3 linked regions of the Tamandua tetradactyla genome follow. The protein of the gene in region 1 purifies or fractionates together with the protein of each later gene. This does not show direct contact. Links are inferred from orthologs where the notes say so. Each region holds a gene or a part of one and is shown on either strand. Other genes may lie near its edges.

What was found. Proteins that work in one complex are often made in the same cells at the same time.
Region 2: the proteins of SERBP1 (region 1) and DNM1L purify together in Homo sapiens (affinity purification with mass spectrometry; 3 studies listed by BioGRID and IntAct, with this or other methods). This does not show direct contact. The link is inferred for Tamandua tetradactyla from reciprocal best matches to the Homo sapiens genes SERBP1 and DNM1L.
Region 3: the proteins of SERBP1 (region 1) and RBM42 purify together in Homo sapiens (affinity purification with mass spectrometry; 3 studies listed by BioGRID and IntAct, with this or other methods). This does not show direct contact. The link is inferred for Tamandua tetradactyla from reciprocal best matches to the Homo sapiens genes SERBP1 and RBM42.

The regions. Positions count from the first base shown.
Region 1 is NC_135337.1:58,507,986-58,519,369, forward strand, and holds the start of SERBP1 (SERPINE1 mRNA-binding protein 1), read left to right. Parts: upstream 1-6,469; 5' UTR 6,470-6,593; coding exon 6,594-6,906; intron 6,907-10,345; coding exon 10,346-10,496; intron 10,497-11,305; coding exon 11,306-11,384. UniProt on the Homo sapiens protein: Ribosome-binding protein that promotes ribosome hibernation, a process during which ribosomes are stabilized in an inactive state and preserved from proteasomal degradation.
Region 2 is NC_135333.1:95,956,720-95,967,452, reverse strand, and holds the start of DNM1L (dynamin-1-like protein), read right to left. Parts: upstream 4,657-10,733; 5' UTR 4,485-4,656; coding exon 4,383-4,484; intron 1-4,382. UniProt on the Homo sapiens protein: Functions in mitochondrial and peroxisomal division.
Region 3 is NC_135342.1:30,376,416-30,387,518, reverse strand, and holds the start of RBM42 (RNA-binding protein 42), read left to right. Parts: upstream 1-6,447; 5' UTR 6,448-6,684; coding exon 6,685-6,812; intron 6,813-7,051; coding exon 7,052-7,196; intron 7,197-8,532; coding exon 8,533-8,614; intron 8,615-8,707; coding exon 8,708-8,782; intron 8,783-10,314; coding exon 10,315-10,380; intron 10,381-10,457; coding exon 10,458-10,633; intron 10,634-11,103. UniProt on the Homo sapiens protein: Binds (via the RRM domain) to the 3'-untranslated region (UTR) of CDKN1A mRNA.

The sequences.
Region 1 (11,384 bases):
CATAATCAAATTCACACCACCTCTGGGATTAAAACCTGGCTTTCCCACCTCCCAGCCTAATCCTCGGTCATTTCACAGTTTGCCTCTGCAGCCTGTGGCACGTCTGGAGTTCTCACTGTACTTCAACCATGAAATCTGCCTCATTCCTATGAGAATCTAAGTGCTTTCTAGTTCTTGATACATCTCCTATCCACCCTCCTTAAATAAGCTCAATGCTCTGGGATTTTACCCCTGTGGAAAATGGAAAGGATTCACTTACTCATTCCCTTGTTGGACAGACGCTGACACACACACACAGGAAATATGGCATAGTGTTAACACAGACTCTGGCACCAGACTGCTTTGTTTGAATTGTGACTCTGCCATTTACTTGCTCAAGGTCACACAACTTGTTATTTAACCTTTCTGTGACTCGGGTCCCTTATATAAAATAGGTTAATGATAACGCTGGCTTCACAGAGTTATGAGTTTTAAATGAGTTACTCCATATTAAATGCTAATAATAGTACCTGGTGCAGAGTAATCCTCAGTAAACATTAGGTATTATGGAACAGACATTGGGAAATAGAAGTATGTTAGGCACAGGGAATAGAAGTACATGCAATGTAGAGAGAAATACAGGCACGTTCATTTCTTCAATAGACACTTCACATACTAAGCACTAGGCATTGAGGGCATACCAGCAAAATACACCCCCTGCCCCCAATATTTACAAACTGCTATAAGAGGTAAATAGACAAGCAATGACAACACAGTGTGATAAACACAGAAAATGGGGTGCAAGCAGGGTAATATGAGAATATATAAGAGGGAATGATGTTTTGGAGGGCAGAGGAAGTGTCTCAGCAGAAGTGAACTCAAAGTGAGACCTGATGGATGAGAAGGAATTTTTTTTTAAATTTTTATTAACACATCTTTACACACATACAGTCTATATATGGTGTACAATCAATGGCTCACAATATTATCACATAGTTGTGTGTTCATCACCATGATCATTTTTAGAACATTTGCGTCACTCCAGAAAAAGAAATAAAAAGAAAAAAGAAAAAACTCATATATCTCATACTCCTTACCCACCCCCATTGACCACTAGTATTTCAATCTATCCAATTTATTTTACCCTTTATCCCCTCTATGATTTATTTATTTTTTTATCCTTTTTTAAAAAATCATTTGTCCAAATGCTGGATAAAAGGAGCATCAGACACACCATTTTCACAATCACACGGTCACATTGTAATTGTTATATTGTTACATAATTGTCTCCAAGAATCAAGGCTACTGGAACACAGCTCAACAGTTTCAGGAACTTTCCTCCAGCCACTCCAGTACACCATAGACTAAAAAGGGATATCTATATGATGCATAAGCTAACCTCCAGGATAACTTCTCAACTCTGTTTGAAATTTCTCAGCCAGTGAAACTTTATTTTGTCTCATTTCTCTTGTCCCCCTTTTGGTCAAGAAGGCTTTCTCCATCCCCTGAAGCCAAGTCCTGGCTCATCCCAGAAGTTCTGTCCCATATTGCCAGGGAGATGTATACTCCTGGGAGTCATGTCCCACGAGAGGGTGGGGGTTGGGCAGTGAGTTCACCTGCTGAGTTGGCTTAGAGAGAGAGGCCATACCTGAACAATAAAAGAGGTTCAATGAGAAGGAATTTGCCACTATTTACTAAATTACTAATTACTAAAACGGAATGTGAATTGTAGAGTATGTAATGAGCTGTGCTGTGTAGGGAGGCACATGCAGGAGCAGGAGGGGGTAGAGTAAGTAGTTCTGTCTAGTTGGAGGGTAACGGGGCATTGTAGGGGGCAGGGGGCCAGAATTGGAAGAAAATGACACCAGGTTGTCAGGGGCCTTAAATGCATTGCAGAGGATTCTGGACTTCATACTGCAAATAATGGGGAACTGTCAAGTCTAGAAGAGCTAGAATTAAATAATCTAGACAAGGTTAGATATGGAGTCAGGACAACCATTTGGAGTCGTTGGAAATATTCCTGATGAGAACGTAAGGCTGCAATGGATTGCTGGCCTTGAGGATGAAGAACAGGAGATGTTTGGGCAATAATGCAAATAATCAAAGAGACAATGTATCCTTCTAGCCAATATGGGTATTTGATTGGAAAAGTGTGAGAAGTACAGGTAGCATAACAGAAAGAAAATGAGGTTTTGGAGCCAGATAGAATTGGACTCAAATCCAATCTCTAGCATCCGTTGAATTCATGTTTAGTGTGGGTAATAGTCCTACCTCATAGTTTGTGAGAACTATTAACATGTAGAGTGCCTAGCACAGGGCCTGGCACATAGTAAGCATGCGGTACGTGAGAGTGTGAGTATTTGGGGATTAGAGAATAAGACTGTGGTGAGAAGTTTGTACCTTAGAGAACAGTGAGTGGTCTTAGTCTTTTGAATGTCTTAGATGCTTTAATTAATTAATTAATTAATTAATTTCTTTATTTTTGCATGGACAGGCACTGGGAATCAAACCTGTGTCTCTGGCAAGAATCCTGCTACTGTGCCAGCATTGCATCGCCCTAGATGCTTTATTTTTAGACAACTTTATTTAGATATGATTCATATATGATACAACTCACCCATTTAAAAATTACCCATTTAAAAAATAAAACGTTTTTAATTTATTCACAGAGAGGTGCCACCATCACCACAATCTAATTTAGACCATTTTTATCACCCTAAAAAGAAACCCATGCCCATTAGCAGTCATTGCCCATTCCTCCCACTGAAACCCCCCAACCTCCACTAATCTACGTTTTGTCTGTACAGCTCTGTTCTTAGAGGCTGTCACAGATCTCATGAAAGTTATTAAAACGCTATAAAAAAAATGAAAAACCTGGAAATATGCCACAATTTTGTATGCAATTTCCAGGAAGTCAGGTAGCCTTGATTAAATTTTTTTGTTTCATGGGCAGGCACTGGGAAGCGAACTGATTAAAATTTAATAAATCCAAACCCTTAACCAACTCAAACCTAGTCTTTCCAAAGTTGGCACTAAACTCCTAGAGTGGTGGTGGTGGTGGTGGACAGTGGAACTTTATAGTCTTCCCTCCTGATTCTCTGCCTGACCTGATTTCTGCACACACACAATTTGCTCTAAATTTTCTACACATAAGCATAGCTGTGAACATCAGCCATGAGGCTCCATCTCTTTTTCCCTTTCCATTTGTTACCTCTGGGAGCAGCAGAAACCTAAGAGATTTCAGCTAGCAACCAAGAGCATGTAGTGTCTCTGAAAACAGGTCAAAGCTCTGAGAAAATAGCAATCATATATTAGGAGCTTACTGGGGCTGAGCATGGTATTATCATTAATTACTCTTCCAATTTTTCAGTTCTAGGAGCTCCTCCTGGACATGTCAGCCTCAGGTCTATGGTAGCTCCTGGTAAATAATGCAGTATCACCCTGAGGAAGGCTTCTGCCATCAATCTTTGTTTGGTATCGTTGCCTGTAATCCACTTCACAGAAGCCAAGAACAGCTGGAGTCTAGAGAGGGGACTCTCATCTTAGATAATAAAAGATGATGTTTGTGCTTCCATTGTATCAAGTAGGAATGCCTGTGCCTGCCTCCATGCCTGTGTTTATCGGGTTAGAACTTCAATCATGTTAAACTGGTCTCTTTTAGAATAGCAAGTGAGAATTTTGATTACAAAATAGTTTCCTGATTTAAATTTTGAGTTTTATTACCATGTTAGCTGAAGCCTCCTTCTTTAAAAAGGAAACCGGGTTCTAAATATGATCATGGTGATGAATACACAACTATGTGATGATATTGTGAGCCCTTGATTGTCTACTGTGGATGGATTGTATGTGTGTGAAGATTTCTCAATAAAAATATTTAAAAAAGGAAACTGGAAGCAACTTGAAAGCACACTCAGACTTAATCACCTTTGTATTCATTACAGGCTTTCTCTTCCAGTTCTTCACCCCAACCTCAAGCTCACTTAGTTACAGGCACACAACATGCTGTTCTGCTTTTTGTGTTTTTTTGTTGTTGTTGTTGCTGCTGGAACATACACGCTCCTTCCTACCTCGTCTTCTCCTGTTGGCTGTTCCTTCTGCTTTTCTCTTTAAATCTTCTCAAGGCTGGCTTTTTCACATCACTCAGGCAGGCATCAGTTCACATAGCTTTTCTGATCATACAACCCCCAAAAATGGTCCCCTTCTCTCATCACATTATCCAAATAGACAGTCTTCATGGTACTTATCACTCCCTGAAATTGCCCTTGGGGATGTATTATTTGTTTCTTCTTTGTTTCTCCTCTACCGAAGTGTAAAACTCCATGAAACAGGCCCCTTGCCTGTTTTGTTCACCAGAGACCCCCCAGGGCTCAGAGCAGCCCATCACACATAGGTTTATTCAATAACAGCTGTTGAGTTAAAGGTTTATTATCAGAAGAGTTAGATAAATAGTATTAAATGTGAAATATATTTTCTATTCCATAAGAGTTAACCTAGATGCATGCATTCAGAACTTTGTTGGCTATATCGAAACCTAAAAACTTGCTATTTATTGGACTGTCCAAAATAAAATGATTTTAAAAGAAGAGTAAAATGAAGGCAAATTATTCGACCTCTTTGCACTTCACTTTCGTTACCTTGAAGAGGGAATAGCAACGCTTTCCTCATACAGTTGGTGTAAAGATTAAATGAGATCACAAATGTAAATTGTGCCAAGCACATAGTAAAATATCAAGCTTTAACTATTATTGTTGTGGCACTAGCCTCTAAGAAGTAAGAAATGGAGTTTTAGCAGATGTCTCCAAGCTACAGATATTAACAGTCTTTGGTGAAGAGAAAAGGGCTTGGAAAAGTATAGAGACTTTCCAAATTTCACTCGAGCTAGTTTCAAAGGGGTGGGAAGAGAATGGTCAAAAGGTCCTTGTCTCTTGCCTTTGGTAGGAGCCACAAGCGTCAGAGACTGTGGAAGCCAGGATGGGGGAGGAGGGTGTATGGCTGGGACTGAGGCAGCAGGGAAATAAGCCAATTTTGGAGGCGGCCAGAATTTAGAAACAAGAAAACCACTAGGCTTGCTGCCACATGTCTGTAATATGACTCTTCTATTTTCCCTCTTAAGGAATTCATTTAAGATCTACTAAGAAATTGATAAGTACATTCATCAATGTTACATTCCCTGACCAACATGCAACAGTGTTTAAATCTTACTAAATATTGGAAATTAATTAATAATTGACTGCTAACAGAAGGCAGAGTCTAGATCAAAGAGTTGATGTCAACAGTCTCATAGTGGAGTTAGATAATGGGGTTAACTCATGACACTGACATTTACTAAAAAAGGTGTGAACTTGGTTATCTTACCTGTCTGAAATGGTTTATTTGTGAAAAGGACCAAAACCTACTTAACAAGTTGTTGAGATTACAGTAGTCATAACACTTGGTGCATAAGGGAAAAAGGTGTAAAATTATAACGATGTGTTTAAACACTTAGAGTGTTACCAAATATGCATTGATACTGCATTACCTTAGTGGATTTTAATGTTCTTAACTAATATCAATGTTTTTAGTAAAGACACTTAATTTGCTGACATATTCCTCTCCCCTCACTGCACCTGCCAGCACACATACAATGAGATGCTCATTCGTTGTAATTACACCACAGCCACCTAAGCCTTGACCTGCCGGACACTAACAGACAATTCGACTGGCTCTAAAAAGTCTTTCTACAAGCATTGCCTTCTTCTCGCAGCCTGCCCAGTGTCTGGTGCTGCACAGTCAGGAGCTAACAGCTCTAAAGCATCCGTAGCAACAAGGCATTTCTTGCCGGGGAAAGGCGCGCCACACTCCCATGGACAGCTCAACGTGTCCCTTTGATTAATTCTGTTACGCGGTGTTCACGTCCCCGAGAGAGGAAGCGTACTCCGCTTCGCATTAAATCAGAAAAGCCTGGATACATTATTGGGGAGGAAAGAGAGCGACTCCAGCAACGGAGCAGCTAGGCACGTGGATCAGACCGGTTCCCGCCTCGCCAGGCCGGAGCGGCACCTCTGCACCCCCCGCACCCCCGGAACTTCGTGAGTTTCCAGCTGAAAGATCTGGGAGTCACCTTGACCCTCCCGGAGAGGTGGGGAAAGTTAGCCCGGGCCCGGAGGCGGGGTGAGAAAAAGCAAAGACCGAGCACTTTCTCGAGCAAAACATGCTGTCACGTTTTCCTGTTTTCAGGGTGGCTGGAGACCTAGAGCGTTTAAGGGTGGCTGGAGCAGGTGGTACAGCCCCGCCCACTGTCCCGCGTTCCCTCCCTCAGTTACCCTCCCTCAGCTCGCACGCTCTGCTCGCTCCCCGAGGTCCCGCCTCTGAAGCGCGCGCGAAGAGTTGCCGCGCGGTGCATCCTGGGAATTGTAGTCCCGAAGCGGGAAGCCGCTTCTGGAAAGGCGACTCTGGCCTACGCACCCCATGATGCCGTGCGGCGCAGGCCGCTCCCGGATGTGTGTCTGGCGCCGGAAGAGAAGACGGCCCCCCTCTCTCGGCCCGGCCATCTTGTGGGAAGAGCTCAAGCAGGCGCTCTTGGCTCGGCGCGGCCCGCTGCAATCCGTGGAGGAACGCGCCGCCGAGCCACCATCATGCCTGGCCACCTACAGGAAGGCTTCGGCTGCGTGGTCACGAACCGATTCGATCAGTTATTTGACGACGAATCGGATCCCTTCGAGGTGTTGAAGGCGGCAGAGAACAAGAAAAAAGAAGCCGGCGGGGGCGGCGTTGGGGGCCCTGGGGCCAAGAGCGCAGCTCAGGCCGCAGCCCAGACCAACTCCAACGCGGCGGGCAAACAGCTGCGTAAGGAGTCCCAGAAAGACCGCAAGAACCCGCTGCCCCCCAACGTTGGTGTGGTTGACAAGAAAGAGGAGGCGCAGCCGCCCGTGGCGCTTAAGAAAGAAGGTAAAGGTGGGGTAGAAGGTGCGGGAGACTAGGGATGGAGGAGAGTTGGGACTGCCACTTGCTTCTGTAGCTCCAAGGGGCTATGGGAGACTTTGCCGCCGATTTATTCACGCTTCCCCCCATGCGACCAAAGCCAGGTCCTGCGGAGGTGCTGGGAGCGTGGTAGTGCCAAGTTTAAACCCCCACCTGCAAGAGCCCCCGGAGCCACCCCTTTCCCGCCTCAGGTTCTCAGCCGGAGGAGCATGGTCCGGAGCTGTTCCTCAGCTGTTCCTCGAGCGTAGTCGGTGTCCTAGGAAGCTGTTCCCTTCCCGCCGGATTCCTTGGCGGGCGAGCGCATGGACTGGAGGTGCGGGGAATCCAGACACTTAGAAGCTTTTGTAGTTGGAAAGAAGTTTGGGAGCCTACAGCTTCTTTCTGCCCAAAGCTCTTAGCGTGGTCTTTCGAGGTGCTGTTTTCTGGTTTAGCTTCTGTTCTGCCATCTTGTCCCACGATGGTGTGGAGTACCCGAGTGAAAAGCTCTGGGGTCAGAATTGACATGTAAGCTACTTCTGTGCTCAAGTCAAGATATTATGCAGTAAGTTGCTGTTCGAGGTGCTACATGTGGTTTCTAAGCCCCCTCCCCCCACCTTCACTATTAACTTGCTAAAGTGAGTTAGACTGTTTGGATGGGTGAGGAATTTGGCTACACTCAGTTAAGCAGAGTGGGAATTCTGATTGAAGACTGATTATTGCCGGAAATCCTTCGGATCGCCGGCGTCTCACGATCCTTTTCTCCCAACTCCTCGCGCTCAGTTCGTATGGCGTGGCGTGGCCTGGGCCTCGTGGTGAAATAGGTGTTTAGGCTGTCACAACATTAGCAGCGGCAGAACTCTTGAGCCTGTAGCCTTTTTTCCGCGTGTGCCTGAAGCATTGTCAAGATTTTACTGGCGGGCGATGTGAATTTCACAGGGTTGTCTTGAGCTTGACTTTTGCATTCTACGTTTTAGCTTATTGTGGGGGGTGAAAAAGTAAATAATTGAGGATGTAAAAAACATACATTGTCAGTTGCAAGTGAGGGTAGAACTTAAGCTCAGAATCTTTCAAGTTGTGTTTTTATTCAGAAAATTGAGATTCCCCTTTACTGCCACGTGCTCCTGAAAAAAGTTGTCTCATTAATTTTGCCTACTGTAGCAGTCAACTGACTTGAAAACAAAACAAAATTTCACGTGTGCTCAGAATGTTGGATTTTGGTTTAGGATTTTTTTGTGGCTGTTTTGTGAAACTTGGAATAAAGAGCATGGGTGGTTAATAAAACAAAAAAAGAATTCTTGTAATAAATTTATATGTTGGGGAAAAGCGCAAGTTGGAATATCAGAAAGCATGTGTTTATCAGTTAGACCAAATATCTATTCAGCTGATTAAGATTTATGGCAACCTGTGGTACAGTTGAATAAAACATTTAATTCCTGTCTTAAGAAACACTGACTTTATGCAATTATTTGGACTCTTCTCCTTTATCTCGTTGAGTATGCTCATCCAGAGAAAGCACATGAAAAAATTGAGTCTGGAATAAATCTAAAGTGTTTACTGGTAGATGTGTTTACCCCATTTTGAATGTTCAACATATGAAGCATGATTTAATACCTCAGTTCTGATCATTAAAATAAAAGCCCATCTTTGAAACATACTTTTACCTGGAAACCAGTACTTTAAATTGTAAGTGCAGAGAATTATTTCATAAATTTTTCCAGGACTAAAACACAAGCTTGTAAGTATGGGAAAGAAATGTTGAATGAAAAGTATTTGTTTTAAGATTCTACTACTTGTCAATGTTCTGGGCATACAAGTCCCTCCCCTCTTGTAGTGGGACAGATTCTTATCTGATCATGCATTCTGTACCTTTGATATAGATCCTTGCACAGTGTTGGACATATTTTAGATAAATATTTAAGGTTTTATATGAATTTAAGTTTATAGCTTGTTTTTAATAATAAAATTCTGGAATCTAGTGAAAATGAATGAGCTTGCAAGTGTAGAGAAATAGAGGAGCTTGCACTTTTAATGTCAATCATTTTTTATTGGGTAAATTTATTTAGTAAGTTTTAGATTTAGCAGTTTAGATTCTCTAAGCCTAATATTGAAAGTTGGGTGGAGAAGCAAGTCATTGTTCATTTGGGTGTGTTTTGCTTGGATATCATAAGGACTGGTTCCATTGTCCTAATGGAACACTAATACACTGTACCTCTGAAAAAATATATTTAAGGCTTTGGGGTAAGGCTTATCATCCATGGTCTCTTGAATTTACGTGGAATGAATTTTTGATGCTAAAGATGGTTGAACAATTTGGCTGTGGCCTAATGGTGTTCCACTTTCTTAGAACAAGAATGAATTAACTTAAGATCTTATTATAAAATCAGTCCTTCAGCTGCTTTTTTGGCTTTGTCAAAAATTGTGGTTTGGGAATTACAGCATACCTGGAATCTTACAGTCATGAGTTTAACTACCAATCTTAAGCCCATCAGTAATATATTTTGATTGCCTTTGGTTGGGCCTCTAGACTCTATAATAGGAAAAAAAGGTAGTAAGAGGAGAAATCAGTAAATGCTTCAGCTATCATTTAGTGCCATACATCTCCTGTTAAATATTGCAAAAGAGGTCTTTTTATGTTTGTGCAGTCTTTAAAGATTCTTTGAAAATAAAGATAAGTATAAGGGCAAACTAAGAAATTTTCATGAATTTCATAGTTGTACATAGCTTTTTAAAAAGTTTGGTGATAAATGTATTGTGTACATGCAAACATGTTATATATATATATATACACACACACAAACTTATCTGTATATGTAAAACTGTAGTAGGAGAGGAAGATGGTGAGGTTTTTTTTTCTGGCTAGTTTAAGCTATGGGGATGCACTCTAATAATCCTAAATGCCATTTGCTTTCCTTTTGGATTTGTAATTTCATAACAGATTTTTTTTACTGTATAGTGTTCTCCCCACCATCCAAATAATGTAAAATAAGATACGTCCTTCATTGTTTTCTTAAGGGGCTGTTACTGGTGTATTGATTTGCTGTTTTATTACTTATGAGTGACTACAAGTATTATCTTCATAAGTATCTCTAAAGCCAAAATGTGTAATTTCTCATAATACTTTGTTTAAAAGTTTTTTTAATTAAAAACTTTGATATCTTGAAAAGTGAAACGAAGAATAACTTCCCGAATGGCTTCCAGGGCGGTAATAGAGACTACTTCAGGGAGAAAAAAATGAGTTGACAAACAAAATAGAAGTTTGAAAAGTTTATTATCTTTAGATGGGAATCTCTCTAAAGTACTGTGATCCACATTAGGGATACCTTGTGTTTGCCTTGTTCAACAGAAAGTGCTTGTTAATGAACTGACAGGTGAACAACTTTTTATGTTGCAAAAATAATTTGCTTATGCATATTATTTATCATTTTAGGAATAAGACGTGTTGGAAGAAGACCTGATCAGCAACTTCAGGGTGAAGGGAAAATAATTGATAGGAGACCAGAAAGGCGACCACCTCGAGAACGACGATTTGAGAAGCCACTTGAAGAAAAGGGTGAAGGAGGAGAATTTTCAGTTGATCGGTAAGTTTTTAAAAATCTTTTCCTTTTGTTAACTTACAGAATTACATCATAAAGCTATAAATTGGATATAATCGCTAGGTCACAGTGTGGTTGATCTCATCATTTTGCAGAGAAACATAAATACATGTGCCTTGTTCTGCTTTAGACCTTTTGTAATAGATTTTCATGTTCTAGTGTAATGAAATGCTTAACGTACTTTGCTGTCTTTTCCTTCCTATCCCTAGAAGTTGAGTTAAAAGCATAGCAGATTAGGTGTGTTAAATTTAATTTTAACTAAAATAGTAGTTTTGCCTAGATTGTAGTGTACAATGATATAACAGTGAAAAAGACTATTCACTAGTAATGTTTTTGAGAATGCCAGAATAATTTTCTTAGTCTTTTGGGGGGCTTCCTAGCTGTTTTGATTTCTTTATGTATTTAGAAATATACTATATTGAAATTCCTAAAACATGTATTTAACTGTTAGATTATGAGTCAGTAAACATGTCCCTGCATTTTTGAACTCTTAAAATGGATTCCCTTATTCCTTTTTCTGGAAACCTTGGGAGAATAGTATTTTTTTTTTTTTTTTTTTTTTTTTTTTTTTTTTTTAAAGGAAAGACAGAGAGAAGGAAGGAAGGATAGAAGGAAGGAAGAGAGGAAGAAAGGGAAACATCTTTTAAACATTTTCTTGTTTTATTGTATTTTGTTTCTCCGTTTTCGTTACATGGGCTGGGGCCGGGAATCGAACCGAGGTCCTCCGGCATAGCAGGCAAGCACTTTGCCCGCTGAGCCACCGCGGCCCGCCCCTATTTTTTATTTCTCTGTAGACCGATGATTGACCGGCCTATCCGGGGCCGTGGTGGTCTTGGAAGAGGTCGAGGAGGCCGTGGACGTGGAATGGGCCGA
Region 2 (10,733 bases), on another chromosome or scaffold:
CTGAGGGATGGAAGAGGGAACTGCGGTGTGTACATACAGCAGACTACCGAGTGGCTGCAAGAAGGAATGAAGTTTTGAGGTATGCAACTAACTAAGTGAATGAACCTTGAGGACAGTATGTTGAATGAAATGTCAGAAACAAAAAAATATTATTATGCTTCAATCATATGGTCTAACTATAATATACAAACTTAGAAAACTGAAGTAGAGAGCATGGGTTATCAGACTGGGGCCTACCATAAAGGGTCCTAGATTGTACATTCTTACAGCAGTCAAATCTATTTCAGAGTAGTAATGGTTATTTCAAAATTCTGAAATACTGAGCTATTTGTGTATAGCCTGGTTATTTCCTGAAACTTCAGGTATTTTGTGACACCCGAAACTTAAGAGTTAGAGCTCTGAAGCTATGAAAGTCAGTATTATTCCAGCAGCAACTGTTTAAAAAATTGAAAAAGTGATCAGACTTCAAATAGAGATATGAATGAAGCTAATCTGGATAAGACTAAGGTAAATCAGAATATAGGGTAAAGGATAATACGGACTTTATCTTAAAACGTCAATTTCTATGTAAGACCAAAGATAGAGATGTTTATTTGGTGCATAAATTATATTTTTGGTAGTATATTATCTAGTTTAATTTGTATGGTCATTTATTAGAATACTATAATTACATGGAATGTTGAATAGCGTGTAAGATCTCATTGGTTTGTACAGGTTAGTGTGATGCACTGATACATCCCAGAACAGTTAGGGCAGAGAATAAAAAACTATTTGCGAAGTCCCCTTGGGGGTCTAGGAAGAAAGGAGGAAATATTCAATTTTCCCATCTGGGGAATTTCTGATACTCTAACAAGCAGTGGGGACGACCAATTCAAAAAAGGCTGAGCCCTTGATCTTGGGGTCTGCCTCAAGCCACTTCAATACACCATAAGCTAAAAAATGATATCTATATAATGCATAAAAATAACCTCCAGGAAAACCTCTTGATTCTGCTTGAAATCTCTCAGCCACTGAAACTTTATTTTGCTCATTTCTCTCTCCCCTCTTTTGGTCAAGGAGGTTTTGTCAATCCCTTGATGCTAGGTCCTGCTTCATTTTGGGATTTCTGTCCCACATGGCCAGGGAGATTTACACTCCTGGGTGTCTTGTCCCATGTAGGAAGGAGGGCAGTGAATTCACTTGCTGCATCGGCTTAGAGAGAAAGGCCACATCTGAGCAACAAAAAAGGTTCTCTGGGGCTGACTCTTGGGCCTAATTTTAAGTAGGCTTAGCCTATCCTTTGCAGGAATAAATTTCATACGGGCAAACCCCAAGATTAAGGGCTTGGCCTATTGATTTGGTTGTCCCCACAGCTTGTGAGAAGATCAGAAATTCTCCAAATGGGGAAGCTGAATATTTCTTCCTTTCTCCCCATTCCCAAGGGAACTTTGCAAATACTTCTTTATTCATTGTTCAAATTACTCTGGGAAATATTGTTGGACAAATCAACAAAATCTCACACCCCACACAAGACTCCATGTACTTACAGCATTCAACTAAACTGACCAAATAAATTAAATTAGGAAATGCACTGCCCTAAATATAAATTCTGCACCCTTTAGTCTCACACAGAAGTTGAATTATTAAAACATGGACGATATCACCCCTACCCTGCATTCTGATATACCTTAATCCTATCCAGATCAGCTTCATTAATATCTCTACTTAGAGTCTGATCACTTTTTCAACTTTTAAACAGTTCCTCTATGGGGTACTAGCCATGACTCTTGAAGGTGACTGTATAACTAAACAGCTTTTACAATGTGACTGCGAAAACCTAGTAGCTGATGCTCCCTTTATCCAGGGTATGGACAGATGAGTCAAAAAATAAGGACAATAAATAAATAAATAAATGGGGGGAGGGATAAGGGGTTAAAAAAAATTGGGTAGATTGCAGTATTAGTGGTCAGTGAGAGGGAGAGGTATAGGGCATGGGATGTATGGGTTTTTTCTTTTTTCTTTTTCTGTAGTGATGCAAATGTTCTAAAAAGATCATGGTGATGAATACACAACTATGTGATGATGATGCTATTATGAGCCATTGATTGTATACTTTGGATGGACTGTACACATATGAAGATATCTCAATTAAATTTTTTTTTTTAATGAAGGATGGATGAAGACATTCCCAGATAAACAAAAGCTAAGGGAATTAATCACACTTAGACTGATCCTACAAGGGATGCTAAAGAGAGTTTTGCAGGTTGCAAGGAAAGGACAACAGACAATAGATCAAAGTCACATGAAGAAACTAGGCTCTCTGGTAAAGATATGGACATGGGTAAACATAAATGTCACTACTATTGTTTTTTGGTTTGTAACTCCACCGTTTATTTCCTACAGGATCTAAAAGGCAAATGCATAAATTACAATCAGTGGTTTTGGACTTATAATGTATAAACATGTCATTTGCGACAATAACTACATAAGGTGGGGAGACAGAAGAGTATAGGAACACAGTATATGTACACCAGCGAAATTAAGTTGGTATCTAAACCAACAAGTGTGGTATAGAATGAGGATGTTAAATTTAAGCCCAGTGGAAACTATAAAGAAAATATTGGAGAATATGCAAACTCATACAAACATAAATTACAGTACAGATTGCCAGAGGCAGAGAACCAGGGGAATGGGAATTAATGCATAATGGGTAAAACTTTCTTGAAGATGAGAAAGTTTTAGTAATGGCAGGTGGTGAGAGTATTGTAACATTGTAAACATAAATACTACCATTGAATGGTATGCTTGAGAGTGGCTGAGATGGGAAAGTTTATGTTGTATATGTGAATCCACAATTAAAAAAGAGCAACTAAAGAAACAATAAAAATTAAATACAGTACGTGATTCTGGACAGGATCTATCCAGGGAGAAGGCACAAAAGGACATTACTGTGACATACAAAAAGTTGGAATACAGACTGTAGATTTTTTATCAATGTTAAATTTCTTGAACATGGTAACTGCACTTAAGGTGGTTACATAAGTGAATATCCTCGATCTTAGGAAACGAACACCACGTAGCAAGCCAGACTCAAGTGTTCAGAAAAATGGACCATAGATAGAAAAATGGACCATAGACATGGATAGATGAACGGATTGATAGAATGATGGACAGAGAGAATGATACGGCAAGAGACAGCAAAACGTTAAAATTGGTGGATTTGGTATCTAGAGGGAAGGTGTATGTTTAGAGTTCTCTGTACTGGGTTTGTATTATTTTTGTGACTATTCTGTAAATTTGAAAGTATTTTAAAATTAAACGTTTAAAAGAAAAGTGAAGGATGTCTACGGTTCCCAAGGTTTTCAGTGTTTGAATATGCTCTATAGCACTCTGAACATTAACTTCTCTCCCATAATATTTATTATGAGAATGTATTTTAGTTTTGTTGAAATGCGCCTTATGGAAAATGAGGAAACCATCTCAATAGAAAAGATACTGTTAAGAAATGAAAGCACTTAAAATCATATAAGTAATCACTAAAATGCTTTCCCTGAACCCAAATCCTATGATTCTTCTTCAATCTAGAAAAGCAGCGTACTTCTCTGTCACTTTAGAAATAAGTTATTTTTCCAACACTTCAGCATGGAAAAATAAATGTGTTATCTATAAAGAAACCCAACCTGAAGAGACCAGAGACCCTATATGCCCAATTTAGGTCACGATCACAAAACCGTAGAAGATTAACAAAAAACAAACAAACAAACAAAAAACCACAGGCTCCGAAGGAAAACTCCATGTTCCTAACACCCACAGAACTCCAAGTACGGTGGGTGCTTTTGTTTGAACTATTCTGATTTTCTCAGCGAACGGTTTACACTGTAGGAACTCAGATACTACACAAGTGGCGGTCTCTTAGCTCTGACTGCGCGTACAAAACTGACTCCACAGTCCCGGGGCAAGGCAAGGACCGACGGAAGTAAAACACCCCGCGGCTCCGAAACCAACCGAGAGGGGATCGGACAGCCCACCAACAATTCTCTGCCGCCACGCGCACCCGCGCGTCCCCCAGATGCCCTTGGAGGTAGCGGCCCGTGGACCGAGCCGCGCCCGGTCCCCGCGAACTCCAGTTCCGCCCGCCGACCGGTCCCTCCTCCATCCCGCCCCCGGGACTCCTCGGGCCCGCAGCGCCGACTCCGCCCCTGGCCTCCACGCCCGGCCCCTGGTTCTCTGCACAGAAGCCACCAGTCCGGGACAGGCGTGGCGGGGTCTGGCGAGCCCCGGGACCCCGGCTGCACCCTCTTCCCACAGGCCGCAAAGTCCGGCCTGGAGCAGGCACTGCCACAGCCCCAACCAGGGCCGCGCCCCGGGCTCTGGCCTCGGTTAACCCCACCCGCGTTTCTCACCTGCGTTCCCACCACGACGATCTGAGGCAGCTGGATAATGTCGGCGCCCACAGTGTTGAAGACGTCCTGAAGCTTGTTGATGACAGGAATTAGCGCCTCCATGACTCCGAGAACACGGGCCCCCTGCCCGCCTGGCCGCGGCAATGAATGGAGCCAGGGCCTGGAGTCCTCGTTCTTCCTCCTCTCCTCCGCCTTCTCCTCGGGAGCCGGCACCCATTGGACCCGGCCCGCCCGCTACCTGCCCCCTCCCGGCAGGCCATGCGCCAAGAGGGAGGTGGAGAGGAACAAAGGCTGCCGGGATTGGTAGTCCAGCCGCGCAGGACCGCCGGAGCCTACGGCGTCCAGAAGGCTGCGCGATGTGGACGGGCCCGGAGTGGAGCGCGAAGGGTTTCTGGGAGCGGACGCTCACTGGCTGGGGTCAAAAGGTTGGAGAGTGATCCCCGGAGAGTAGAGGAAGGCATACATTTATTCCTGTCCCTGAAGCACACCTGGTGTGAAAAATGCCAGATGTGGGTTTATATTAGATAGAGCGGAGTCTTTCTTGGCTACCCAAAATGTCGTTTCGTTATTAGGGTGATTCCTCAAGAAGAGCGAGGCAGAATGGTTTGAAGAATCGCTCATAAGCATCTTAAGTGTATCTGAGGCAAAAGTATGCCTGTACTCCAATATCAGTCGTGGGTGCTTTTGCAAAAACATAAGACCAGCCCAGGTTAGAACACGAAGGTTCTTCAGGGGTTTTGTGAGAACGTGTACGGGGAGAATTTTACAGTGATCCTTATTCACTATATCCTATATTAGTGTATCCTTGTTTCCTACATTCATTACTTGTTGTGGCGTGATTCTCGTCAAGGTGGAGATTTGATAACTGTCTTACTTGCTTTTTGCTGAGTGTGCCTACAGTTCTATTCCTCAGTGTCCTTTTCCTTTTTAGACATCTTTACGCCTCCGATCTTTTCCCATCGCACTGATGGTGAAAAAAAAAAATGGTGCCATTTTAGTAAAGACCCATAGCAGGTGAGAAAAGAACCCCATCCTTTTTTCTCCTTATTTGTGATGTTTGTTAAACTCTCTTTGTTAAGCTGTCACCCTAGACCATCAGCTCCTTGAGGACAGGGATGTTTGTCTAGTGTAACTAGCCCCTAGAAAGTGACACAGTATATCTATCTGCTATCAGTTTTCAATGAGTTTACAAGCCAGAGGAGACAGATGATGACACCATTATAATTAAATGAGTAAAAGACTATGGCTGGGTGTATTTTGTAACAGTTAACGGGAAAGAACAGAAGTCCAAGCAATGTTTCCTATAAGAAATCACTAGATTTAATCTCCAAACAAAGCCATCAGGCACCACTTACAGTAGTGGAAGTATTCACTAGACAAGTTTAATGGGTGCCATTTACTTGCACAGTCATGTACAGTGATCCTGGGGAGCATACCTGATTTGTTCAGCAGGACACGTGGTAAGCGCCCCATAAATATTTTGAGCAAAAGAATGAAATGTCATCTAAGCCTCTCGCCAAGTGTAGGAAGCATCCTCCTCTCTTTGGTTCTTTTTAAGAACAATGAGTCAAATTTCTGAATTCCTACAGAGCAAACAAAAGAATTTTATCAAGTCCCTTTATTTCTATCAAAAATATTATGTGAGATTCAGTTATTACCAAATTTGCTTCTCAGACCTCTGCTGATGCAGTTTTTCTTCTCTTCTTTTTCTCTGACCAGTCTGTCTCCTTACAAAAAAGAAAAGCAAACATAGAGGAGGTAGGCAGGTGGCCAAGCTGCAGGGACATAACCAGATTACAGCTTCAAAGGGGTAACATGCATGGGGGCAAAAATAATACAACTACATTTTTTTTAAATACAGCTACATTTTATAATGTTTTATCCCTTGTCTGAGGCACCAGTAGACACTGCTTTTTTCCTGTTTGCTAATGCCAAAACTAAAAGAGCAAGCATATATATATTCCAGAAAAATGAATGTTATGAATTTTGCAAGGCATTATACATTTCCATTTAAAGTATAAATTATCTCCTGGGATGGAATAGCTAGGGCCTTTTAAGAACTTGCTTCAGGAACAATAGTGACAGCTTTTTAAAAAAAAAATTTTTAATACCGAAAAACACCTAACAAACGCAAACATTCCTATTTTGATCATTCCGTCCTACATATAATCAGTAATTCACAATTTCATCACATAGTTGCATATTCATCATCATGATCATTTCTTGGAACATTTGCATCTATTCAGAAAAAGAAATAAAACGAAAACAGAAAAAAAATTTATGCATACCATACCCCTTACCACTCCCTTTCATTGATCACTAGCATTTCAAACTAAATTTATTTTAACATTTGTTCTACTATTTATTTTTATTCCATATGTTCTACTTGCCTGTTGACAAGGTTGAAAAGGAGCATCAGACACAAGGTTTTCACAATCACACAGTCACATTGTGAAAGCTCTATCATTATACAATCATCTTCAAGAAACATGGCTACTGGAACACAGCTCTACATTTTCAGGTAGTTTCTACAGCCTTTCCATTACATCTTGAATAACAAGGTGATATCTACTTAATGTGTAAGACTAACCTCCAGGATAACCTCTCAACTCTGTTTGGAATCTCTCAGCCATTGACACTTTGTCTCATTTCACTCTTCCCCCTTTTTTGTCTCATATCACTCTTCCCCATTTTGGTTGAGAAGGTTTTCTCAATCCCTTGATGCTGAGTCTCAACTCATTCTTGGATTTCTGTCCCACGTTGCCAGGAAGTTCCATTCACCTGGGGGTCATGTCCCACATAGACAGAGGGAGGGTGGTGAGCTTGCTTGTTGTGTTGGCTGGAGAGAGAGGCCACATCTGAGCAAGAAAAGAGGTTCCATTGGGGGTGACTCTTAGGCCTAATTTTAAGTAGGCTTGACCTATTCTTTGTGGGGTTAAGTTTCATATGAACAAACCCCAAGACTCGGGGCTCAGCCTATAGCTTTGGTTGTCCACACTGCTTGTGAGAATATCAAGAATTCAACTTGGGGAAGTTGAATTTTCCCCGGTTCTCACCATTCCCCAAAGGGGAATTTGCAAATACTTTTTTATTCATTGTTCAAATCACTCTGGGATTTATTGGGGCATCACTCTGGACAAACCAACAAAATCTCATGCCCTATGCAAGGTTCCATGTACTTTTGGTGTTCTAAGCTATCTACATAAGTTATATTAGGAAATGCACTAGTCAAAATATAAATTTTGTACCAAATGAACATTTTTGCTTTAGTCTCACACATAAGTTAAAATTTTTAAATATTAATTAACATCTATTTCCAGCACCCTGCAGTAATAACATTCCTTTGTTCTTCCTCATGCAGAAGCATTTTTTTAAATTTGTACATGTAGTCACTATCATTATATACTCTAGGCATTCCTAGATTATACCATCTCAGTCTTTATCGTCTATCTTTCTTTCTGATTTCATTTGTGCTCCCAGCCCTCCTCCCTCTATCATTCTCACATTCAGCTTCATTCACTCTTTCAGTGTTTTAACATAATTGTATTATAGTTAGGTAGTATTGTGCTGTCCATTTCTGAGTTTTACATTCAGTCCTGTTGCACAATCTGTATCCCTTCAGCTCCAGTTACCTAATATCTTACCCTATTTCTATCTCCTGATAGTCTCTGTTGCCAACGACATTCTCCAAGTTTATTCACTAATGTCAGTTCATATCAGTGAGACCACACAGTGTTTGTCCTTTTGTTTCTGACTAATCTCACTCAGCGTAATGTCCTTAAGGTCCATCCATGTTGTTACATACTTCATAACTTTATTCTGCCTTACAGCTACATAATAGTCCATCATATGTATATATCACAGTTTGTTTAGCCACCTGTCTTTTGATGGACATTTTGGCTGTTTCCATCTCTTTGCAATTGTAAATAATGCTGCTATAAACATTGGTGTGCAAATGTCCTTTTGTGTCCTTGCCCTCATGTCCTCTGAGTAGATGCCTAGCAATGGTATTGCCGGGTCATAGGGCAATTCTATATTTAGCTTTTTGAGGAATCGCCAAACTGCCTTCCACAGCGGTTGTACCATTTGACCTTCCCACCAATAGTGGATATGTGTGCCTCTTTCTCCACATCCTCTCCAGCACTTTTGGTGTTCAATTAAGCTGTCTACATAAGTTATATTAGGAAATGCACTATTTTCTGTTTTATTGATAATGGCCATTCTGGTGGGTGTCAGATGATATCTCATTGTGGTTTTGATTTGCATTTCTCTAATAGCCAGGGAAGTTGAGCATCTCTTCATGTGCCTTTTGGCCATTTGTATTTCCTCTTCTGAGAAGTGAGTGACAGCTTTTTAATTCTGTCTTTTTCCAGCAGAAGGAAGAATGATCACAAAGGCCAGTGCTTAAAATTCTTCCTGACCATATCACCAGTCAGGCTTGAGTAGGACTGCTTGATTGACCTATTCTTTGTGGGGTTAAGTTTCATATGAACAAACCCCACAATGCAAAAAAGGTCTTGCATTGTGTTAATCAAGCACAGAGGAAAAGAAAAGTATTTAAGCCAGCCAAAAGAGGAAGTAATGAGGACTTAAAAAAAAAAAAGTGTCTCTAATTTCATATTTTCTCCTTTTTTTTTTAACCTCAGTCAGTATATTGTATGTGCAATATGTCTCATTGGAGGGAAAAAAAATCAAATCAATTTGGGTTTCTCCACTCTTTAAGTTCAGAAAACTCTTGCTTGTAGGAAAGCCATTTACCGATAAGTATTTGTTTTGTCTAATGTAGGATGATGTGTTCCTAGGTGGGTTGCTATGAAATCAAATTAAGCCATTATCAGATACCATCTCCAAAGGCTTCTTTAAAAATTATTCTTCAACCATCCCTCTCTCACCATAGATTTATTATTTAAGCAGGACAGTTTGTTGCAAATGACAGAATTTTAACTTAAAGTAAGAAACACAAAAAAGGGGAATTAATTTGTATAACTAAGAGGCCAACATAACCTTGTCCTTAAGATCAGCTGGAACCAGGATCTCAGGCAGTATCAGCACTCTCTCCACCTCTATCTCTGCATCATTTATTTCATTCTGTCAAATCAACTTATTTATCTGGGATAAGTGAATGGGCAATGGTGGAGGCAGCAGGGGATGTCTCAGGGCAGTCAGGCTTAAGAAAATCCAAGGAAGAACAGAAACTTAAGTTTCCACTCCATTTCTCAGGTGTATTATCTTCCTATTACAGACTTAACAAGTCACTACAAATTTTTTGAGGCTTAAAACAGCAGAAACTTGTCAGCTGGAAGGGCATATGGCAAACACGGTGTCATCTGCTAGGTTTCTCTCCTGGCTTCCTGTTTCATGAAGCTCCCCAGGAGGATCTCCAAAGGTCACTGACTGGTGGACTCTGCTTCTCATGGCTGCATTGTTCTGCTCTCTCAGAATCTCTCTCATTCTCCAAAATGTTTCCTCTTTTATAGGACTTCAGAAACTAATCAAGACCCACCCAAATGGGTGGAAACATGTTGTCACCTAATCCAATTTAACAACCACTCTTGATTGAGTCACATCTCCATGGAATGATCTAATTACAGATTCAAACAAAAATTCGTACTGAATACGGATTAAAAGAAACAGCTGCCTTTACAAAATGGGATTAGGATTAAATGGCTTTTCTAGGGTACATACATGATTTCATACCAGCACAGGCACCAACAAGAGGTTACCTTCACTCAAGAAAGGCCAGTGGGGCAGAAACACCTCTGTCAGCCAGGTAGTCTGAGACTAACATCTGTTTGTCTCTTACTCCAGGACTCCACTGATTTCAGCCTTTTTCCTGTGGGTGTTGCTCACTTTACTTCTCCAGGGCTGGCTTTCATCTCTTGGCTACCCTTGGCTGTCTCCAGGTTCTGGCTTGCTTAACATCTCATGGCAATGTCTGCTGGGCTCCAAATATCTCCAAACATCCGTGTGTCTGTTCGCCACATGTCTGCATCTGTGTCAGTTCTGCTGTGAAGTTCATGTCAGCTCTGAGACTTCTGTCGTTTCTGTCAATTCTGAACTTTCTCACTAAAATGTTTCCTCTTTTAAAGAATTCCAGTAAACTAATCAAGCCCCCACCTGGAATGGGTGAAGTCACATCTCCATGTAAGCAAAAGACCACACCCACAATTGGGCGTGTCACATCTCCATGGAGATAATCTAATCAAAGGCTTCCAAACTACAGTATTGAATCAGGATTAAAAGAAATGACTGCTCCCACAAGATTAGATAGGACTAAAACATAGCTTTTCTGGGGTACATAATAATTTCAAACTGGAAAAATCTCCAAACTTCTACATGGGCTCTGAGCTT
Region 3 (11,103 bases), on another chromosome or scaffold:
TGAGCTGCCCAACAGACAGGTCATCACCATTGGCAACAAGGGGTTCCAATATCCTGAGACCCTCTTCCAGCCCTCCTTCCTGGACATGGAATCCTGTGGCATTCAGGAAACCACATTCAACTCCATCATGAATTGTGACCTGTTCATCCACAAGGATCACTACACCAACACGGTGCTGTCTGGCAGGACCACCATGTATACAGGCATCACCAACAGGATGCAGAAGTAGATCACAGTGCTGGTGCCTAACACAATGATGATCAAGAATATCACACACCCACACCCCTCAAGTACAGGTACTCTGTGTGGATTGGTGGCTCCATCCTGGCCTCACTGTTCACCTTCCAGCAGATGTGTATCAGCAAGGAGTACAATGAGTCTGGCCCCTCCATCATCCACCACAAATGCTTCTAGGTGGACTGTTACTTAGTTGTGTTACACCCTTTCTTGACAAAATCTAACTTGCACAGAAAATGAAACAAAATTAGCATGGTTTTATTTGATTAATATATCTATGCACACACACACACACACACACACACACACACATATATATATGTTATTTTGTTTTGTTTTTTGACATTTGACTTAACATTTAAAAACTGGAATGGTGAAGGTGACAGCAGTCGGTTAGAGCAAGCACCCCCAAAGTTCTACAAATTGGCCTAGGACTTTGATTGTACATTGTTTTTTTTTTTAACAGTCACCCCAAATACCATGCTATGAATTGTTACGTGTAGTTCCTGGCCTTCCCAAAAGCTTCCCACTTCTCCCTAAGGAGAATGGCCCAGTCCTCACCCACATTCATACCAGGGAGGGTGACAGCACTGCTTTTGTATAAACTGTATCATCCTAATTTTTTAAAAAAAATTCTGCCTTAACAACACCTTTTATTTTTATTTTAAATTTTCAGCCATCATGGTCCCCACTTTTTGTCCCCTAAATTTACATGTATGAAGGCTTATAGTCTCCCTGGGAGTAGGTCATATTGCATAGGCACCCAGGGCTTCCCTGTACACTGACATGAGACCAGTTCAGTAAAAGTTCACACCTTCAAGAAAAAGAAAAAAAGAAAACACTAGGTGAACACAAAGAAGAATTCAAAAGTTTTAAAAAACAAATGGCAGAACTCATGGGAATGAAAGGCACAACAGAAGAGTTAAAAAAACAAACAAACAAAACACTGGAGACCTACAACAACAGATGTGAAGAAGCAGAAGAAAAGATTAGTGAATGAGAAGACTGAACATCTGAAATCCTACACTGAAAGGAACAGACAGGGAAACACATAGAAAAATATGAGTATGATCTCAGGGAATTGGATGAAGCACATGAATATATGTGTTATGGGTGTCCCAGGAGAAGAGAAGGGGAAAGGAACAGAAAGACTAATGGAGGAAATAATCACTGAAAATTTCCCATATCTTATGAAAGATATGAAATTACAGATCCAAGAAGTACAGTGTACCCCAAACAAAATAGATCCAAATAAACCAATGTGGTAGTTAGAGTCAATTGTCAACTTGGCCAGGTGAAGGCACTTAGTTATGTTACTGTGGGCATGAGCCAATGGTACATGAACCTCATCTGTTGCTGATTTACATCTGCAGTCGGCTAGGAGGCGTGCCTGCTGCAATGAATGACGTTTGACTTAATTGGCTGGTGCTTAAATGAGAGAGCTCAACATAGCACAGCCAAAGCAGCTCAGCATACCTCATCTCAGCACTTGCAGCTCAGCCCAGGCCTTTGGAGATGCAGAAAGAAATCACCCTGGGGAAGGTTGTTGGAACCCAGAGGCCTGGAGAGAAGGCCAGCAGAGACCATCGTGTGCCTTCCCACGCATGGAAAGTTAGCTGCCTTTTCTCTGAAGAACTAACAAAATAAATCCCCTTTTATTAAAAGCCAATCTGTCTCTGGTGTGTTGCATTCTGGCAGCTAGCAAACTAAAACAGCCAAATTCAAGACACTTAGTAATCAGATTGTCAAATGTCAAAGACAAAAAGAGAATCATGAAAACAGCAAGAGAAAAGCAATCCATCACATTCAAGGGAAACTTGTTGAGTCCATGTGTGGATTTCTCAGCAGAAACTATGGAGGCAAGAAGGCAGTGGTATGATATATTTACAATTCTGAAAGAGGAAAACAGCCAACCAAGAATTCTATACCCAGCAAAACTGTCCTTCAAAAAATGAGGTAGAATTTTAAATATTTTCAGACACTCAGAAAAGAGACTGGGCCTACAAGAAATTCCAATGGGAACACTACAGGCAGATAGGAAAAGACAAGAGAGAGGTCTGGAGAAGAGTGTAGAAATGAAGACTATCATTAAAGGTAAAAAGAAAAAAAAATAAGATATGACATATTAAATCCAAAAGATAAAATGGTAGGAGAAAGTACTGCCTTTACAGTATGAACATAAAATGTTAATGGCTTAAATTTCCCAATCAAAAGACATAGACTGGCACAGTGGATTAAAAAGCAGGATCTATATGCTGTCTACAAGAAACTCACTTTAGATGCAAGGACAAAAACAGATTGAAAGTGAAAGGTTGGAAAAAGATATTTCACACAAACAACAACCAGAAAAGAGCAGTAGTAGCTATACTACTATCTGACAAATTAGACTTCAAATGTAAAACAATTAAAGAGACAAAGAAGGACACTATATATTAATAAAAGGAACAACTCATCAAGAAGACAGAACAACCATAAATATTTCTGCACCAAGCCAGACTGCCCTAAAATACATGAGGCAAACACTGACGACACTGAAGAGAGAAGTAGACACCTCTTTACTAATAGTTGGAGACTTCAATACATGGGTCTTCTCAATGGATAGAACATCTAGACAAAAGATTAATAAGGAAACAGATTTTGAATACTATGATAAGTAAACTAGACTTAACACACACTTAACAGAACATTACACTGCACAACAGCAGAATACACATTTTTTTCAAGAGCTCATGGATTATTCTCAAGGATGGACCTAATTCTGGGTCACAAAGCAAGTATCAATGCATTTTAAAAGACTGAAATTATACCAAAATTATGCAAAACACTTTCTTGGATCATAATGGAATGAAGTTGGAAATCAATAATAGGGAGAGGGACAGAAAATTCACAAATATATGGAGGCTAAACAACCAGTGTTTTAAGGTAGGAATTAGAAGAAGAATCAGTAAACATCTTGAGGCAAATGAAAATTAAAATACAACATATCAAAATTTATGGGATGCAGCAAAGGCAGTGCTGAGAGGTAAATTTATTACCCTAAATGGCTATATTTAAAAAAAGAAGAAGAAAGATAAAAAATCAAGGAATTAATTGTTCACCTGGAAGAACTAGAGAAAGAACAGCAAACTAACTCCAAAGTAAATGGAGGACAGAAATAACGAAGATTAAAGCAGAAATAAATGAAATTTAGAATATGAAACAATAGAGAAAAGCAAGAAAACCAGAAGTTGGTTATTTGATAAAATCAATGGATCCTTAGCTAGGCTAACAAAAAAAAAAGAAGAAGAAGAAGAAAGAGAGAGGATGCAAAAAATAAATACAATCAGAAATTGGAAAGGGGACATAACCACTGACCCCGCAGAAATAAAGGAAGTAATGAGAGGATACTATGAGCAACTATATGCTAATAAACTAGATAACGTAGATGAAAAGGACAACTTCCTAGAAAATATTAACAACCAACATTGACTGTAGAAGATATTGACGACCTCAACAAGCAAATCACAAGACATTGTATCGGTCATCAAGAATCGCCCCCCCCCCCCCAAAAAAAAAAGTCCAGGACCAGATGGCTTCACATGTGAACTCTACCAAGCATTCAAAAAAGAATTAGTTTGTGAGACATGCAACTAGGTGAATGAACCTTAAGGACTGTATGTTGAATGAAATGGCAGAAACAAAAAGACTAATATTATCATGCCTCACTCATACAGACTAACTATAATGTTCAAACTGAAAGAATTGAAGTTAAGAGGATGGATTATGGGCGGGCCACGGTGGCTCAGCAGGCAAGAATGTTTGCCTGGAATGCCAGAGGGCCCGGGTTCAATTCCCAGTGCCTGCCCATGTATAAAAAAAAAAGATGGATTATCAAGTTGGGGCCTTTTGAAAAGGTTCCTAGATTGTGAGCTCTTACAGCAGTCACATACATTCAGGAGTTGTAACTGTTATTTCTAAATTCTGAGACACTGAGCTGTTTGGACAGAACCTGGTCATTCCCAGAAACTTCGAGTATCTGTGTGGCACCTGAGACTTAGAGTTTGGGCTCTGAAGCCGTGAAAGTCAGCATTACCCTATACAGGAACTGTTTAAAAGTTGAAAGAATGATCAGACTTCAACTAGAGATATGAACGAAGCTGATCTGGATAGGATTAAGGTAAATTAGATTACAGGGTTAAGGATGATATGGTCCATATTTTAAAACTTCAACTTCTGTGTGAAACCAGAAGGAGAAATGTTTATTTGGTGCAAAATTTATATTTTAGGTAGCACATTACCTAATTTAACTTGTATGGTCAGTTTAGTTGAACACTGTAAGTATATGGACTCTTACATGGGCAGGCACCAGGAATCGAACCTGGGTCCTCTGGCATGGCAGGCAAGCCTTCTTGCCTGCTGAGCCACCGTGGCCTGCCCAGTATATGGACTCTTGATTAGGGTGTGAGATCTTGTTGGTTTGTCCAGGTTAGTGTAATGTCCTAATACATCTCAGAATAATTTGAGCAGAGAATAAAAAAGTATTTGAAAAGTTCCCTTGGGGAACTGGGGAGAAAGGAGGAAATATTCTACTTCCCCATTTGGGGAATTCCTGATATTCTTGCAGACAGTAGGTACAACCAATTCAATAGGTTGAGCCCTCAATCTTAGACTTCATTCCTATGAAACTTACTCCTGCAAAGGAGAAATTAAGCCTCTTTATAATTATGCCCTGGTCACCCTCAGAGAACCTCTTTTGTTGCTCAGATGTGGCCTTTTTTTCTAAGCCAACTTGGCAGGTTAACTCACTGCCCTCCCTCTTTGGGACATGACTCCCAGGCATGTAAATCTCCCTGGCAACATGGGACCTGGCATCATGGACTTGAGAAAGAGTTCTTGACCAAAAGGAGGAAGAGAGAAATGAGACGAAGTAAAGTTTCAATGGCTGAGATTTCAGACAGAGTTGATCTCCAAGATGGCAGGCAAGAACTCTGCCTGCTGAGCCACCATGGCCGGCCCTAGATATCCCTATTTAGATTATGGCGCATTAGAGTGACTGGAGCTAAGTAGCTGAAACCAGCTAAGTAGTTGAGCTGTGTTCCAGTAGCCTTGATTCTTGAAGACGACTGCATAACGATATAGTTTTTACAATGTGACCATGTGATTATGAAAACCATGTGTCTTAGGCTCCTTTTATCCAGGGTATGAACAGATGAATAAAAAAATAAGGATAAAAAATAAAATAATAGGGGGCAATAAAGTGTTAAAAAATGGATAGACTGCAATACTAGTGGTCAATAAGAGGGAGGGGGTAAGGGTATGAGATATGGCAAATTACGTTGATAGTACTACTATATATATATATATATAGAATTGCACTTCACCTCTGGTTTTCCTTCCCCAAACCCGTAAGTCCAATCTAATGATTAAAACATCAGACAAATCCTAGATGAGAGAGATTCCATAAAATACCTAGTCAGTACTTCTCAAAACTATCTAAGTCATCAAAAGCAAGGGAAGTCTGAGAAACTGTCACAGAGAAGTGGAGCCTAAGGAGACGTGTTGATTAAATGTAATGTGGGATCCTGGATGGGATGCTAGAACAGAGAAAGGACATTAGATTAAAAATAAGGAAATCTGAATAAAGTATGGACTTTAATAATGTAAAAAAAAAAAAGTTAAAAGACTCACAGTTCACGCCTTACATTTTGATGGAGGGGTCAGTTGTGTCCCAAGAAAGACACTAAAACCAAACACACACACGCGCGCGCCTTTCTAAGTTGACGCATTTGACCGAGCCTGTTCTTGAGTGGTCCTTCCCTTTAGAACGCTCCCGTTTTCCCCTGCCAAATGTTTTCTGATGCGTCAGCTGTCATCCCCTCCAGGAAGTCTCGTTCGGGCGCGTCCGCTAGGCTCCCTAATCATGTACTTCATGTTTCTGTAGTCACCATCTGGCAGCATTTTTGCCTACTCGAAAGTGAGAACCCAGATCCTCCAACCTCGTCCAACACTGAGCCCCTCCTCGAGTTCAGTGTGCCCTTAAAAACTTCCGGCATTGGGCGAGGCCTCGGAACTTTCCTGAGCTCTCAAAGGTCCAGATTCCATGCTGGTGGGTGGAGCCAACTGACTTTGCCGCACTCTCATTGGCTCACGTTCCTCCATGAAAGCTACGCTCCCTGTCTTTGCTGCGCCTCGATAGGTCCAAGTTCTTCCGTCAGTTAGTCTTTTCAGCCCCCTCATTCTCCGGGTGTGGCCCGGTTCTCATTTGCCCACGTTCCGGGTCCGCGTAGAGGGAAAGGTGGGCCCCCTTTGGCGTCTTGACGTTGTCTACCAGCGCCCGTCGCTTTCGTATACGTCATCCCCGAGCGCCCATCCTTACGCAACCAGAGAGTACACAGCGAACCGCCGGCGGCCGCGGAGCGGCGAGCCTGCGCCGAGGCGGTAGTAGCAGCGACAGCGACTGCAACAGCGATGGCCGGGGCGGGGCCAGCCCCGGGACTCCCGGGGGCAGGAGGACCCATGGTCCCGGTCTCAGGCGCCGGCATCCCGGGCAAGAGCGGCGAAGAACGCCTAAAGGAGATGGAGGCGGAGATGGCCCTGTAAGGCCTGCAACAGGGCGCGATAAAAGCTGTTCCAGAGTCAGAACCGCTGACCCCTGGAGCCTCTAGGCGCCGATAGGCCCGGAATATGGCTCTTTCCTCGGAAACTGGGACTTCGAGATTGTGGGAGCGGGGTTGGGGGAGAAGTAGGCAGAGGTGAAGGCGCTGTCATGATACATACCCAGCGTTCCAGAATTCGTGTGAGGCCTTGAACTATGGTGTCTGTCCTGCTCCCCCAGGTTTGAACAGGAAGTTTTGGGGGCTCCGGTAACTGGGATCCCGGCTGGTGTGCCTGCGATGCCCACGGTCCCCACGGTAGAAGCAATGCAAGTTCCAGCAGCTCCTGTAATCCGCCCGATTATCGCAACCAACACTTACCAGCAGGTATGGCTGAGCTACAGCATATAAATCAGGCAGCACTAATGCCTAGCCCACAGTAGTTAGCTAGCTCTTAATTATCATGACAAGTATATTTTTTATGTGCCAAACAATGTACTAAGTGCTGAAGACAGTACTGACTGAGACAGACAATAGTTCAGCCCTTGGGGAACTTATGTTCTATAGCATACTGTTCAGTAGAACTTTCTGCAATGACGGAAATGTTCTATGTCTATTTAAAATTTACATTTAAGTTAAATTTTCCTCAGATGCATTAGTTGCATTTGGAGTATTCCAGACCTGGCTAATGTAATGAGTGGAGTGACAGATACTATTAAAAAAGAAAACAAATGAATGACTTGTTCATTCCATCAACACATAATTTTCAGGTGCCTCTTATGCTCCTGTGTTCCCTGAACAAAACAGAAAAGCAATCACTGTCTTTTTGGAGTTTACATTTTACTAAGAAGAGACTTACCAGCATAGTCAGGGAAAGCCTTTCTCAGAAGGTGACATATTAGCAATGATATAAAGAAGGTGAGGGAAAGAATAATGCAGATACTTGGGAGATGAGCATTCTCAGCAGAGAGAACGACCAGGGCAAGAGCCCTGAGGCAGGTACCTACCTGGCATGCTGAAGGAATAGCAAAGAGGGATTCTGACTGGAGTGGAGTGAGCAGGGAGGAAGAGAGAGGAGATAAGGACAGATGGGTGATAGAGGGCAGATCTAATAGGGCTTTCTGAGCCACATTAAGGACCTTAGCTTTTACTCTGAGTTGGGCAGCCATTAGAGCATTTTAGGTAGAGGAATGATATGGTCTAATTTAGATGTTAACCGGGTCACACTGGCTGGGTTTGGAGAATAGACTGTAAAAATAATAATGGCCTGGACCAGGAAGGTAGCATGGGAGATGAAGAAAATGGGGTGGACATAACTTCGCAAAGAGCTAAATGCTAAGGGAAAGATGAAACAGGGTAGAAAGAAGTTGCTTCTGGGAGGTGGTATGAAACAGCTTTAGCTAGTGACATCTCAAAGACCTCCTGGAGAAGTGACAAATTTTAGCTGAGACCCTTTGCTTGTGTATACTCAGTTTGATGTAAAGTTCTGCCCTGCTCTCTATTAGATCAAACTTGGTAATTAGATCTAACCCTGTTACACTTTTGTTATTTTTATCTGATGATAACTGAGAAATTTTAGCATTTCTCACTCTGCACTCTGCTGGTTATATAACCAGCCCCATGTAAAGTGCCAAAAATGAAACCCTTAGTCTACCAAGTTGAACCAGCCAAAGCACATTTGGGAATCTGAGCCAGCCCCTCATCCTGACCTCCTCTCCAACAGGTCCAGCAAACTCTGGAGGCCCGGGCAGCTGCTGCAGCCACAGTGGTTCCTCCCATGGTGGGCCCTCCTTTTGTAGGTCCAGGTAAGTAAGGAGTTAGGGATAACGGTGAGGGCAGTATCAGGAATATTAGAAAAAGGGGTTGTCTTCCACCACTCCTCTCTCCCTTCCCAACAGTTGGCTTTGGCCCTGGTGATCGGAGTCACCTGGATAGTCCAGAAGCTCGAGAAGCCATGTTTCTGCGGCGAGCAGGTAAGTCTGGGCCTACAGACCCCACATTTATCCAGACACCACAAAAACATCTCTGGGTTTGCCAGGTACTCTTGTTTAGCCTGCTTCAGTCTCTTGCCTAAATCTTCAGTCTTCCTGCTCTAAATCAAGTTCTCCATTTTACCCCCATCCTGATGTTATCAGCTTCCTAAAACACAAACCTGATCGTGTCACTTCTCTGATTATTTTAAGTTAGTTTGGCCTTTGTGGCGCTTAACCTGATCATTGCAAACTGCCCCCACCCCCAGCTGTCACTCCTAATCACTGCTTTTAGCCATGTTTCTCCATAACATGTGTCACATTCTAATAAGCATATGATTTACTTACTTATTTGGTTTTTCTTCTTTTGCCACCTTTAAAACATAAGCTCCATGAGGGTCAGGGGTCTTGTCACCTGTCACATAGTAAGCATTACACACTGTCTGTTGATGGGATGAACAAACTATTAAACAAGTGCCAAGCTCCTCACCTAGCATCCAGAGCCATATACACCCTCACCCCTGGCAGGGAGATATCCCTACACTCTCCCCTGGAGTCCCAAATATTGCTGAGGTGTGCCAGCAGTGCTCCCATTGAGGTCTTTACACACTATCTCCCTTACTCACTGTCACTCAGCTCTAATCTTCAAATCTGTTCTCTCTCCAGGCCATTCTTACCTTTTGTTATTGCGGTAACCTTTATATACCCGGCCAGTTTCTGTGCCTTTACTTTTCTGTGTGTCTGAAGAAAATGTGTATACTCAGTTTGATGTAAAGTTCTGCCATGCTCTCTATTAGATCAAACTTGGTAATTAGATCTAACCCTGTTACACTTTTGTTATTTTTATCTGATGATAACAGAAATTTTAGCATTTCTCTCTCTGCACTATGGTTTTGATCAAAATGTAAAACTGACCCAGTCATCCTTCCCAACTTCCATTTCTGCTGTGGCTCCCCAATGCCATCAGAGGACATCCATGTGCTCGGCAAACAAGGCCTTGCTTGGGCGCCTGCTGTCCTCCCTATCCTTATAAGGCACTATAAACTCCCACCCACCCCACCCCACTTAGTCTCTTAAAGACACACTAAACCAAAAAGGAGAAAGGTTTGTTCACAAATACTTTCTCTGCCTGTAATATTTAACTCACTCTTTGCCTGATCAGCTCCTCGTCCATTTGTTCTCACTAATAGGTCTCTCTCTACAAAACCTTCTCTCATCCTCTGACCAGCCCTCATCCTACCTTTGGTCCCTTATTGCTGTCACTCTCTGATGATGGGTCTCTTCCCCCCTTCCCTGAACTGAAAGCCCGTGTTCTAGAGGCATGTTCTTAGCATTGCCCAGCCTGAGGCCCAGCCCAGAAGAGATCTTCGATTGTAAATTTTTGCTGAATGAACAAACAAAAAGACCCCTCACTTCTCCAAGAAGGCTCCCCAGGCTCTTCTCCAGGATTTTTCGGATGCTGAAAGAACCACTCCCAGCTCACCCCCAATGCCCCGGTCCCCCATGACATGCACCCCCATCTCTCTCTCCCACAGCCGTGGCCCCCCAGAGGGCCCCTATCCTGCGGCCGGCCTTCGTCCCCCATGTGCTGCAGAGAGCAGGTGAGGGGGCCAGGGTCATCATCCCTGCCACAAACCCCACCCCAATTCCTCCAACTCTCCCACTAACACCCTGACAGATTCTGCTCTCTCTTCTGCAGCAGGTGGTCCCCGCCCTATGGCCCTTCGGCCTCCTCATCAGGCCCTTGTGGGACCCCCTCTGCCCGGGCCTCCTGGACCACCCATGATGCTGCCACCAATGGCTCGGGCCCCGGGACCCCCTCTGGGAGCTATGGCAGCTCTGAGGCCTCCTCTGGTGAGCGTGGATAGGGATCTGATGGCTGGAGGTGTAGTGGGTATAAAGACCCTCAGTCTTGGTCCACTGGGTTCTGTCTTTCTCTCCTGGCTGTTCATGTCCCTATCTTCTTATTCACTGATTTTGTTTCTGTAGTGTCACTGTTTCTTTCTGCCTCAGTCTTTCTCAGTTTCTCCCTGTGGCTGAATCTTTCTGCTTTTGTTTTCAGTTTTCTTTTTTTGGTAGAGAGTATAGAGAGAAACTGCTATGGGTGTATTTCTGGTTTTTTTTATTGTCCTCTCCCTGGTTTTCTGTCTTGATCTCTCTTTGTCTCTTCTCAGTGTCTGTCCCTCTGTGCCCTCACGGTGTCTATTTCTTCTGTTTTTGTCTCAATTTCTGTCTCTTGAATATCTGTACTCTTTCTCTGTCCAGGTTCCTCTTGATTGCTCTCTGGTCCTTGCTGTGTTATATGTGAGAGTGGTGGAAGCAAA